Coturnix japonica: one gene and its partners. The protein of the gene in region 1 purifies or fractionates together with the protein of each later gene. This does not show direct contact. Links are inferred from orthologs where the notes say so. Each region holds a gene or a part of one and is shown in the gene's direction. Other genes may lie near its edges. The genes, in order: SMURF1, SMAD6 and STK38.

Region 1 (3,645 bases):
CAAGCTGTCAGCATTGCCACTGCAAGTGATCAAAAATACAACGTTTACCTTCTGTCTTTCATTTGTTAGAGAGAACGATATCACCCCGGTTCTGGACCATACTTTCTGTGTGGAACACAATGCTTTTGGGAGGATTTTACAGCACGAACTCAAACCGAACGGCAGGAACATTCCAGTGACAGAAGAGAACAAGAAAGAATATGTCAGGTATTGCAGAACATATCCTGCAAATGTAGTGGAAGGAAGGCAGTGAACACGTTGCTTCTTTTTATATGGTGTAACTAATGGTATGGGTATTTCAGAGGGAAATACCTGATTCATAAATTACGTGTTTTCATGCAATGTAATGTAGTAAAGCCTGGGAAGAAGAAGTTGTAAGTTGTACATTGTGTTGTCTGTTGATGGTATAATAATTAACTGTCGATAGCAAAAGGAATTAATAATCATTTCTTTCATAAAATGTCTTTTAAAACTAATTCCTCTGTAAAATGAACTTTTTCCAGCCTTGCTCAAAAAAGCCCATTCTTATCCAGCTTATCACTCTGACCTTTTTTGCCTTCCCCCAGGTTGTATGTGAACTGGCGATTTATGAGAGGCATAGAAGCACAGTTCTTGGCTCTGCAGAAAGGTTTTAATGAACTCATTCCCCAACATCTCCTCAAGCCTTTTGACCAGAAGGAGCTTGAGGTATACATCTTAACCTCTTGGAATATTAGTTTGTAATTTGTACATTCTAAACTCAAGCACTGATTTGAAAGTAAATAACAATACAGTTTATTACAGTTTCTATACTAGAAGGTTATGCGTTTGTTAAACAGAAAACTTTGTTTTATTCTAGATGTGCTTTGGGTTAGTGTTAGTGAGAGGACTGCTCAGACAGGGGAGATGAATACACCGTGCTGTGTAACCAATCACTAATGCTCAGAGCAGGTGGTCTGGGCAGAGAGAGGGAGAATTGCAAGCCTGAAGAGCTGCTGGCAAGACCTAACCTGTTATGTGCCCCAGAACTTGTTTTCTTCAATAACTATTTTAATACGTCTGTTTCTATAGACACATAAGTCATGGTTTACAGCAGCTAAAGTATAAGTGAGAGAGCACATAGAAAATGAATTAGTTTATCTTTGCATTTAATCCTGAGGTACAGAGTTCTGCACCGTTTTTCTTTCTGATTTTTGTTTATTATTTTAAAGAAGGCAGTGGACTATTTGGAGCATTGGAAGAAGTAGTTTAATGGAAGTAGTTTGTGCAGACCAGTTGTTCACACGAAGTTACTGTGTTCCATGAGTTAGTTGTTTAAAAAGGCAGATTGTAAATCCAATTAATATTTCAATTCTTTCCAAATTAGGATAGTTACAACAGCCCTAATACTGTAAGTTAGTCTAAGTGGGTACTATCTTGGTGTCACAAAAAGACAGCTGCTAAATGGCAGCTCTTAGAATGGAATTCTCAATATGGAATATTGTGGGAAATTTAGAATATGACACACATTTTGTTTTGAGTGATGATGTCTCCTGTATGCCATTTGTTTGTCGTTGCCAGGGTAGCTGGTTAGATTCATGGCCAATAATGACTTCCTCTTTCAATATTTTGCAACCTGGTTTCATCTGGAAAAGAGATTGAAGTAATCTGTCTAGTCTTTGTCAGACACTCTCATAAACAACATCAAAAAACAGCTGCTAAGTTTTTGTATTTAATGGTTAGTTATGGACAATAGACCAATTAGGCTGTAACCATAAACTGAGCAGCACTTTCTTGTAGTGGGTTATTAGCAGCTCTAGGACAAAGCCAGATCAGGAAAATGATTTCTGTGTCAACTCAGTGGATGGCATGCCTTCATCCAAGTCTGTGCTGTGTCCTCACAAAGATTCACTGTACTTTTCAGGTGGGGTAGATTTAAAAAGCAGGTCTTGAATGGGCATTTGAATCTGATTTCTTCTGAAAATTCCAGTTCTGGTGCAATCCTCGGCTTCAGTTTCATTGCAGATTAACTGGGGAGATTTACTTCCTGTTCTAAACTGTTTTGGAGGGTTACTGTGTACCAGGAAGGTGGCTCGAGTGCATAAAGAATGCTGGGCATTGTGAAATAATTCAATGTATGTTTTCATAGCTGCAAAACTGAAATGACTTTGAATGTTAAAGCATTTTCTAATCCATTAACAGCTAATCATAGGAGGCCTGGATAAGATAGACCTGAATGACTGGAAGTCAAACACACGCCTAAAGCACTGCATGGCAGATAGCAATATTGTGAAGTGGTTCTGGCAAGCGGTGGAAACATTTGATGAAGAAAGAAGGGCAAGGCTTTTGCAGTTTGTGACAGGTTCAACGCGTGTCCCACTTCAAGGTTTCAAGGCTTTACAAGGTGACTGATGTGGAGGCTGAGTTAACATGCAGTGGGAGGAAGACTGTGTGGAATTTATTGGGCCCTTCTGGAATATCAGCAATATCAATACTGGATAACTCGATCACTTGCAAGCTTTTCATCCTAAGAGCAGTTCTACGTTTATCAGTGGCTGCTGGTGACCACTTTAGCTGTTGCTAACAAGTCATGCAAGCTGGACAATCTGTCCTCACGTAGCACTTAGGCTGCTGTCAGTACTGGCTTATCAGTCTCTTACAGTTCTGTGGACTGATGTTGTTAGTATCACTGCATAAGAGCATGTACGTGATTATAGAGCAGACTGAGCAGTTCTTTTACATGAGAAGTGTATCCCCATTGATGCTTGGCAGCAGACCATTAGACTGAAACAACTTCCTGAAAGTTGCAGTTTTGGTTGTCATAAAAGGTAGCAGTGTCCTAGACTTGTGGTTCTTCTAATAGCATTGCTTGTGTTAGCTGACAGCAAACTGATCTTCAGAATTGGAATGCATAGTTCTGTTTTGCAAGAAAAGTCTTCTTACTTTTGAGACTTTTCAATATAACTATGTGAAGTTTAACCACGTTCCAAAATACTGCTCTGCAAGTTTGTTGTCATTAAGAGACCCATCATTTCTATTATCTCTTCACCAGCTGCAAATCTGATCTGCAGACAGGCTATAGCACACTTGTATCTGCACCTGGAACTGTGATTTTCTCTTGCCTTTTTATAAATAGCAAAATACGTGTGCATTAATGCTATTTTGTTGAAGTGCATTAACTAGAATGTCTGTTTGTAAGGTTCTACAGGCGCTGCAGGACCCAGACTGTTTACCATCCATTTAATAGATGCAAACACAGACAACCTTCCAAAAGCCCACACTTGGTAAGATGAAATGTTCCACTTGTCAGTGTGTACTTTCCCTTTGTCTTAAAGTAGCCATCTTAGTCCTGGCTATGGATTAACCCGTGTGAGGTGCTTAGATGAATCCAAGTATGTTCTGCTAGCTTGGAAATACCTGTACTCTGCAGCCAGCAAAATAGTTGACTGAAGTTCTTATTGCTTGATGCTTGGCTTATGTCTTCTGTTCTACCTGTGGTTTTTGTCTGCCCTGAGATCAATTATTCTGAATAGTGAGATGTTAATGTCCACATATTCAGCAAAAGTATTCACTGATAAATTACTCATAGCAATGAATCTTCATTGAGGATTAGAAAGAGTAGTTTTTAGATGTAAAGTATAAGAAAAGTGCTGTTTGATACAAAACTGAGCTCTCGTATGGAATGTC
Region 2 (4,168 bases), on another chromosome or scaffold:
CCTTCCCATTGCAACCCCTGGAGTCCGTTCACATCACGCTGCAACCGTTTGCAACTCTCGGCATCCCTGTGCATCCCGCTGAAACCCCTTGCATCCCTGTGCAACCTTTTGCATCCCATTGCATCCCATTGCAACCCATTGCATCCCTTTGCGTCACACCGCGATCCCCTGCAACCTCTGGCGTCTTTTTGCGTCCCTTTGCATCTCATTGCATCCTTAGATCCCTTTGCATCCCCATTGCAACCCTCCGTATCACTTCGCATCCCTTTGCATCTCATTGCATCCCTTTAAACCCCTTTGCATCCCCATTGCAACCCTCCGTATCACTTCGCATCCCTTTGCATCTCATTGCATCCCTTTAAACCCCTTTGCATCCCTTTGCATCCTCCCGTATCTCTTCGCATCCCTTTAACCCCCCCTCAGCCCTGCAGCCCCACACAGACGGGCACTAGGACCCAGCGCGGCGCCGCCGGGCTCCGTTCATTCACGGGCACGCCGCTCCGCGCGGAGGGGGCGGGGCCAACGCGGCCAACGAGCCAATAGGAAGCGGCGAGAGCGCGCGTCACGCGGCGGCCGACCAATGAGAGCGCTCCGGGCCTGAACTTTTGCCACGGCGGACAAGTTGATACATCGCGGGGGCGTGTCCCGCCGCGGCGTCTCCCGCGGGGGGAGCGGCATTAACCCTTTCGCCGCCGCGGCGCCGCCGTGACCTACTTTCCTCTGGCGGCCGCCGCGGGTAAAGCGTCGTCGGGGAACGCGGCGCCTTTAAGAGCCCGGCAACCCGAGCCGCTGTTTGCGCAACAATCGGTGCCGCGCGGAGCCGCCAAAGTGTCTAGACTGGCACATGATGGGCGGCAGCCAATCGCGCCGCCGCTCGCGAGGGGCCCTGCGTGCGCGCCGCGGACACACAAAAGCTGCGCGAGGGCGGGCGGCGCAGCGCGGCACGGCGGGCCCGGGGCGGGCGCGCGGCGCAGCGCAGAGAGACACAGAGAGAACAGGGAGAGCAGCGGAGTGAGCGGGACACGGCGGAGCGGAGCGGGGCTGAGCGGCGTCTCAACGGGCTTCTCCTCATTCGCCTTGTGATCCTCCTTTCCTCGGCTTCGTTTTGCTGCTCCTGTTGGGTTTTGTGTATTTTTTTTTATTTTATTTTTTAATTCGCCTTTTTCATTTTTTTTCCTTTTTATTTTCTTATTTTTTATTATTATTATTTTTGAGGATTTTTTCCCCCGCTTCTCCTCTTCCATTATTCCATTTTTCCGCCCTCATCGCCGCCTCCTTTTTAATTTTCTCCCCCGTCGTTTTCCCCCCCCCCCCCCCCTCCCGCTTTTCTTTTTCCTTCCCCCGTTTTATGCCCGGGCGCTGCCCCCCGGCCGGCCCCCCCGTCCCCATGGCTCCCTGAGCCCCCCCCTATGCCCCCCGCCTATGCCCTCCCCGCTGGGCGCTCCCCATCCCCTCCGCCGCCGCCTTCCCCCATGGTGCGGCCCCGCCGCGGGCCGGGCGCTGCGGGCGGCTCCGGGGGCGGCGGCTCCGGGGGCGGAGGCGGCGGACGGGCGATGAGGAGATAGAGGCGCGGAGCGGAGCGAGCCCCGGGCCGCCCTCGTATCGTATGTTCAGGTCCAAACGCTCAGGGCTGGTGCGGCGGCTTTGGAGGAGCCGCGTTATCCCGGAGAGGGACGGAGGAGATGGGAACGGCCAAAGCTCGGAGCGGAACGCGACGGCGGTGACGGCCGAGGGACAGCGCATGGCACAGCCCAGCCGGGCGCAGGAGGGCGAGGGCCGCCCGGTGCGCTGCTGCCTGTTCGCGGAGCGGCCCGGCCCGGAGCCGCCTCCTCCTCCTCCACCCCCTCCTCCTCCCGGCGGCGCCTCTCCCCTCGGGCCGGGCGGAGGCGAAGCGCGGTCGCGGTTGGTGCTGCTGGAGCGGGAGCTGAAGGCCGTCACCTACGCGCTGCTGAAGCGGCTCAAGGAGCGCTCCCTGCACAGCCTGCTGCAGGCGGTGGAGTCTCGCGGCGGCACCCCGGGCGGCTGCGTGCTGGTGGCCCGCGGGGAGCTGAGACTGGGGGGCGGCCAGGCGGCCCCCCCGCACCTGCTGCTGGGGAAGCTGTTCCGCTGGCCAGACCTGCAGCACCCCGCCGAGCTCAAGGCCCTGTGCGAGTGTCAGAGCTTCGGGGCGGCCGACGGCCCCACCGTGTGCTGCAATCCGTACCACTTCAGCCGGCTCTGTGGGCCAGGTGAGCGTTGGGGCGGGGGGGGGGGATGGATTCCTGTTCGTTTGGGGGTCGGGAGCGTCGCCACGTGCTTCGTTTAGGGCTGTAGGAAATGGGTTCTCCCTCCCCCCACACCCTGTTTGGGGCCGTGGGGATTGGGTTCCTCAGCCTCTCATCGGGGCTGGGGGAGATGTGGGACCCAGCATTATGGGGCCAGGAGGGTGAGGTTACCGTGTTTGGGCTTTGGGTTCGTGGGGAAGGGGATGTTCCGTTTGGGGCTGGGGGAGATAGAGGGACCTTGTTTTTCTCAGCCCCAAACTGGAGGGACCCCAGATCTGGGGACCTGCGGGAAAGGTCCCCGAGTTTGGGACGGGGTGGGTAAGGAGGGAGGATATTGCCCTGTTTGGGGTTTGGTTTGGGTAACTGGGGGAGATGAGGCTCCCCTGTTTGGGAATGTGGGGAGGAACATGGGGAGAGTTTGGGCCTGGAGGAGATGAGGTTCCCCGCTTTGGGGGCATGGAGAGCGGACCCCTCCGTGTTTGGGGCTGGGGCGGTCAGGGACGGACTCCCCACGTTTGATGTCGGAGATGCGGTCCCTGCAGTTCTGAGGGCTGAGGGGATCCCCAAACTCGGGGTGAAGGAAGCGGAATCCTGGAATCCCCGCTGCTCGGGACGATGCTCGGGGCTCGGCTGCGGTCAGGGAATGCCTTAACGCGAGCTGCGTTCCCAGCGCTACTTTTTCTTCCAGGAGGAAAAAAAAAAGAAAAAATCCTTTGTTTAGTTCTCTTTAATTTTACGTATATTTTTTCCCCTTATTTTTCCCTTCCCTTTTTCTTCCTCTCCCCCTCCCCCCCGGGTTCCCCCGCCATGCGGGGCCGCCCCCCGCCGCCTGCCCGCCGCCGGCGCCAGCCTGGCTCCCGCCTGGCTCCGCTTATCGCGCCCGGGCGGTCCCCGCCGCGCCTTAAAGCCGCAGCGCCCCGGGGCCGTGGGGCCGCAGCTCGGCCTTGCGTGGGGCTCCGCTTTTATGAACTTGTTTTTTTTCTCCCCGATCTGAACGCCCCGAACGACCTTCCTCCGCGTCCCTTCATTTTTTTTCTTTTAATTATTATTTAAAATTCCTTTTCCAACGCGCTGTCCCCTCCTGTCTTTGCATCGTTTGCTTGAAAGAAACTTCTGTGCTCCTGGAGCAGGAGTGTGTCGCTTTGATTTCGGCAGCCACCGAACTTTCCGAGCTGTTTTCCTGCAGCGGTTGTTGTGCGGTGTCCCATGCACAGCTTCTGCTGCATCCACTTTTTGGGGGGGCTGTTGAGCCCTTCAAAGCACCTTGCAGCCCGCAGGGCTCTCAGTGCACGGCCCCGGAGGAGTGCGGTGTTTTTGGGAAGCAGTAGGTGGCTGCAGAGCAGCGCGGGGGGATGCTGAGGTCGTTGTTAGGGCTGTAACTCGGAGCAGTGTGTGTGTGGGGGGGTGTTCTGAGCTGCAGCAGAGCCGCTGTGTGCACAGTGCTGGGGGTTGCACAGTGCTGGGGGTTGCACGGAGCTCAGGTGGTGCATCTCAGCAAGTTGCAGTTGTGGAAATAAAAACACTGGAGGACCTTGACCCGGTGTACAGCCCCGAGTTATGGCTGGCAGCAGCGGCCCTGCAATGCGTGGCAGCACCGCGCTGCTGAGCTGTGCAGTGGGGTGGGACACGGTGGGGGCACCTCGGGGCTCGGAGGGCTTTGCTGGTGGCCCATCCGCAGTGCTAACACACAGCTCTGTTTTCCCAGAGTCTCCGCCACCTCCCTACTCCCGGCTGTCTCCTAACGACGAGCAAAAGCCACTGGGTAAGTGCTGCGCTCCTTCCTGCCCCGCGTGGTCGGGCTGTCGGGGCTGCTCCTTGTTCCTGGGCAGGCGTCAGCTGAGGAGCTTTGTGAAATTAATGAAGGCCGTTTATCACAGCAAATTGCCGTGCCGACGCACGCACAT
Region 3 (3,645 bases), on another chromosome or scaffold:
CAGGATGAAAAATATCAGTGTGTAGCTTTTAGGCTTTATATGTTCTTTGTTGTGTGGAGGAGGACCACATCTGACCCGCAGCATTTGATGTGACGTTGCTAAGTGTAACTTCATGCTGTTGTCTTTGAAATGGGAATCTTCAGCCTCTTTATATGTTGTGAAACCGGTGCTGTCAGTTTGGAAAGCCATTCCATTTCTGGATGGGATGCTTTCATTTTTTCCCTTCATTTTCATTCTTCCTTCCATCCCAGATTTTGCTGTGAATGGGAGCACAGAATTGGTGCATCTGGTGTGGAGGAAATAAAGAGTAATCCATTCTTTGAAGGGGTTGATTGGGAGCATATAAGGTAAGATGCTTTATAGAAGAACTCGCTGCTAGTCCTGCTGAGCATCACCGAGCAGCTTGGCTGCCATTTTTCATGCTTAGATATGGGTGAGAGTATTTTGGGCTGTATCTGAAGCTTGCTAAGGTCTGGGTGCCATTGGTCCTTGAATCTGTTCAGTAATGGGAAGTGTTTGAATTCTGCTTTCTTCTGCTTTTGAAACCTTAATGTTCAATCTGTTCTTCTTGGCAGGGAGAGACCTGCTGCAATTTCAATAGAAATTAAAAGCATCGACGATACCTCAAACTTTGATGAATTTCCAGAGTCTGACATCCTGAAGCCAACAGGTAAATGCTTTGTGTATGTATATGTCCCATGTGTTTACAAAGCATGCCACTGCAGCTGTTGATTTGGAGCAAATAATGATATAGAGTGCTTAAATCTGTATGTCTTTATAAGCTTCCTCTCCTGCCTGCAGTGCTTGGTACGTGCTGGGGGGAAACACTGCATTTCCAAACGATGACTTGTTTTCCTACTGTCTTCTCAGTGGCAACAAGCAACCACCCGGAGACGGACTACAAGAACAAGGACTGGGTTTTCATCAATTACACCTATAAGCGTTTTGAGGGCCTGACAGCCCGAGGAGCAATACCATCCTATATGAAAGCAGGGAAGTAATTAAGCTTTACCTGGGACAGCTTCTGAGCCGTGGATTTCTCTTTTTGTAACTTTTTTGGGTTTTTACCCATAAATGAACTTTTTTTTTTTAAACATGAAGTTACTTTTTTAAAGACAACTCGAGGGCTGTTACCTCTTGGAGGAGACTTCAGGATGCTGTTCTGTTACACTCTATGGCTGTTACAGAGGATTTGCTCTTTCTTGCACCATTGCAAACTCCCACAGACCACATGCCATCACTGCTGCAAGTGCTGCTTCAGGAGCAACAAGGGTCACAGTTTCCTTTCTAAACTCTTCACCAGATTTGTCCAGTCCTTTGGGAGATAGAAGCAGGCCTTCATGTGACATTGCAGAGCGTGTGATGTCCACATGGGCCCTTCACCAGTCCTGCATTGAGTGATAAACTCAACCTGCCAGTTCTATCAGCGTTTTCCTGGTTGCAAAGGGCTTCAGTACAGAGGAGACAAAGCAATAATTAAAGCTCGAGGCAGGCAAGCTATCTAGGAGGAGACAACTTGTATTGCCTTAACTTTACTTTGTAGTGGTGGGTATCCTTTTTCTTTCCTAAACGATGCTACTTGGAAGCCTCTTCAGCAGCATTTCTCAGCTCCGTAGCAGTGGCCTCAAGTTGCAGAGCACTTTACTTTTGGTACTAAAGCAGCGACCCCCTCAAAGCCATTTAGTGTTTTCTTTTCCTAAATTAAAAGCAATTGCACAACGCTTTTTCTTTTCCAGACAGTGCTAAGAGAAATGGGGAGCTTCTTCCACCAGGCACCACCAGTTCTCGGTTCTTATAGGACGCATCTATAAGCAATGTGGATAATGAAGACTACAGCTGGATCCAGAGTTAGTGCAGAGAGATGGAGGTTAAAACAGCAGTGGTGGGTGTGTGGGTCCAGCTGGGTTGGCCATGGGCTTCATGCTGCTGCCATCTGTTGGCTGTTTTGAGACGGGCATCTTCATCGGTGGTTAAAAGCATCTTCTGTGGCCTTTTTGCTCTTGGTTTGGAGCAGAAGCAGCTTGTCCCTGTGGTCTCCAAAAGACACAGTGCCTCGCAGGGTCAGTAGGCTGTGGGTCCAACCACCCCAAACTCACATTCTCGCCTTGTGTCATTTATACAAGTTCTGATCAGGCTGCTCTCTAGGAGAGCCCCAAAGTGCCTTTCCTTGTCTGAACATCTCTGGACCCACACCCGCATTTTGGGAGGGAGGATTCAGCCCCATCTGAGTTTTAGGTAATGTCTTGTTACCAATCACAAGCTCCATATTGGCCCTGTTCTGCACTTAGCTCTGCACTTCCAGTGACAGGCAGCGTTACCCTTTGGGTTTGCTTGGTACCAGCCTTGTAATTTGCAATTAGATGTTTGTAATGAGGTCTCTAAAAGCATTGATCAGTTAGAACTGTCTTCGGGTTGTTAAACCTTTGTTGGTGCTGAACACTAATGGCATAGCATGGCCAGAAAAGCTATTTAGAAACAAAATAGAGCAGTGTTCCAAAGCAATAGGAAGGCTCTGTTACGCTTAGTCCTTACTTTCTAGATTAGGATACGAAAGAAAATAGGGTTTGTTGTGAATTTGTTTTAATAGGTGCTTTTAAGGACTCTTCACTTTGATGTCTTTTGAACTGAGTGCCATTGTGAGGGCCTGACTGTGGGACTGGAAGTTGTCTGTATGTAGTTAAGACTGGGTGGTGACTTGCTGCATCCTCTCCCCAACCACCCCTTGTGCTTTTGGGATGCGTCCCAGGGGTTGAACTATTTGCCATAAGCAGCTTAGATACCAGTTGGATCCTAGAGAAGCTGAAATGCAAGGACAGCCTTAATCCAAGCACTGCAGGCAATAGAAATTACTTGTGAATAAGGGCTAACTGAAGTCACGATCAGATTGTCCTGCCCTCATCCTGCAGTTTATTTGGAACCATTGGGAAAATGTTGCCTTATAAACCACAAGGAAAGTGAGAGGTATCAATACTTAGATATTCCCAACAGCTTAAGTTACTGCCTTAACACTTCAGAAAGCAAAACCCTTTGAAGCTGCAGGGGATGAGGATAAAGGATTTGGGGGCAGTAGTGGCATTGTTAGCCCTTTACTAAAGGGACAGATGGACATTTTATGTATAAATACCAAAGATAAGAGAAGCTGGACCACTCTTAAGTTGTGACAACTTGCTGCGAGAACCTCTATAATAATAATTGTTATACATTTTTAGTACTTGTGTTTTAAAGTCTGAAACCTCAGTTTTGAGATAAAGCTTTTATAAGGCATTAAGGAACAGTCGGGTACCTCATTTCTGTGCCTTTCAGGAGGAGCCACAGGGCTGCATAGAATCCTCTGAAAGCCTTGGACATCCCTTTCTGCTGGTAGGTTTTGTATCACAGTCACACCTGTATCATTGTTCCATCTCTATTAGCCAAACCTTTGTATTAGCTGCTGGTCTATGGCTTGAGCTCATGTACATCTGTTTTCAAGCTGCTAAGCAGGGCTGTGTTTGTTGACTGCATTTCTTTTTACCCAGCTGGACTTCTAGGAAAGATCCTAATCTGAATTTCCAATGCATCTGAACTTGAACTGTGCTGCCACTTCCTCTTTCTATCATAAACCTGCACCAAGTGTTTCTTATCACTGTGCCCTGACTCTGCCTTAAG

Evidence for each region.
Region 2: the proteins of SMURF1 (region 1) and SMAD6 purify together in Homo sapiens (affinity purification with western blotting; 4 studies listed by BioGRID). This does not show direct contact. The link is inferred for Coturnix japonica from reciprocal best matches to the Homo sapiens genes SMURF1 and SMAD6.
Region 3: the proteins of SMURF1 (region 1) and STK38 purify together in Homo sapiens (affinity purification with western blotting; 3 studies listed by BioGRID, with this or other methods). This does not show direct contact. The link is inferred for Coturnix japonica from reciprocal best matches to the Homo sapiens genes SMURF1 and STK38.

What each region holds. Positions count from the first base shown.
Region 1 is NC_029529.1:4,322,432-4,326,076, reverse strand, and holds part of SMURF1 (E3 ubiquitin-protein ligase SMURF1), read left to right. Parts: intron 1-69; coding exon 70-207; intron 208-566; coding exon 567-687; intron 688-2,160; coding exon 2,161-2,362; intron 2,363-3,157; coding exon 3,158-3,242; intron 3,243-3,645. UniProt on the Homo sapiens protein: E3 ubiquitin-protein ligase that acts as a negative regulator of BMP signaling pathway. Mediates ubiquitination and degradation of SMAD1 and SMAD5, 2 receptor-regulated SMADs specific for the BMP pathway.
Region 2 is NC_029525.1:16,930,412-16,934,579, forward strand, and holds the start of SMAD6 (mothers against decapentaplegic homolog 6), read left to right. Parts: upstream 1-1,312; 5' UTR 1,313-1,606; coding exon 1,607-2,228; intron 2,229-3,969; coding exon 3,970-4,026; intron 4,027-4,168. UniProt on the Homo sapiens protein: Transforming growth factor-beta superfamily receptors signaling occurs through the Smad family of intracellular mediators. SMAD6 is an inhibitory Smad (i-Smad) that negatively regulates signaling downstream of type I transforming growth factor-beta.
Region 3 is NC_029541.1:1,919,975-1,923,619, reverse strand, and holds part of STK38 (serine/threonine-protein kinase 38), read left to right. Parts: intron 1-251; coding exon 252-347; intron 348-575; coding exon 576-670; intron 671-870; coding exon 871-1,001; 3' UTR 1,002-3,645. UniProt on the Homo sapiens protein: Serine/threonine-protein kinase that acts as a negative regulator of MAP3K1/2 signaling. Converts MAP3K2 from its phosphorylated form to its non-phosphorylated form and inhibits autophosphorylation of MAP3K2.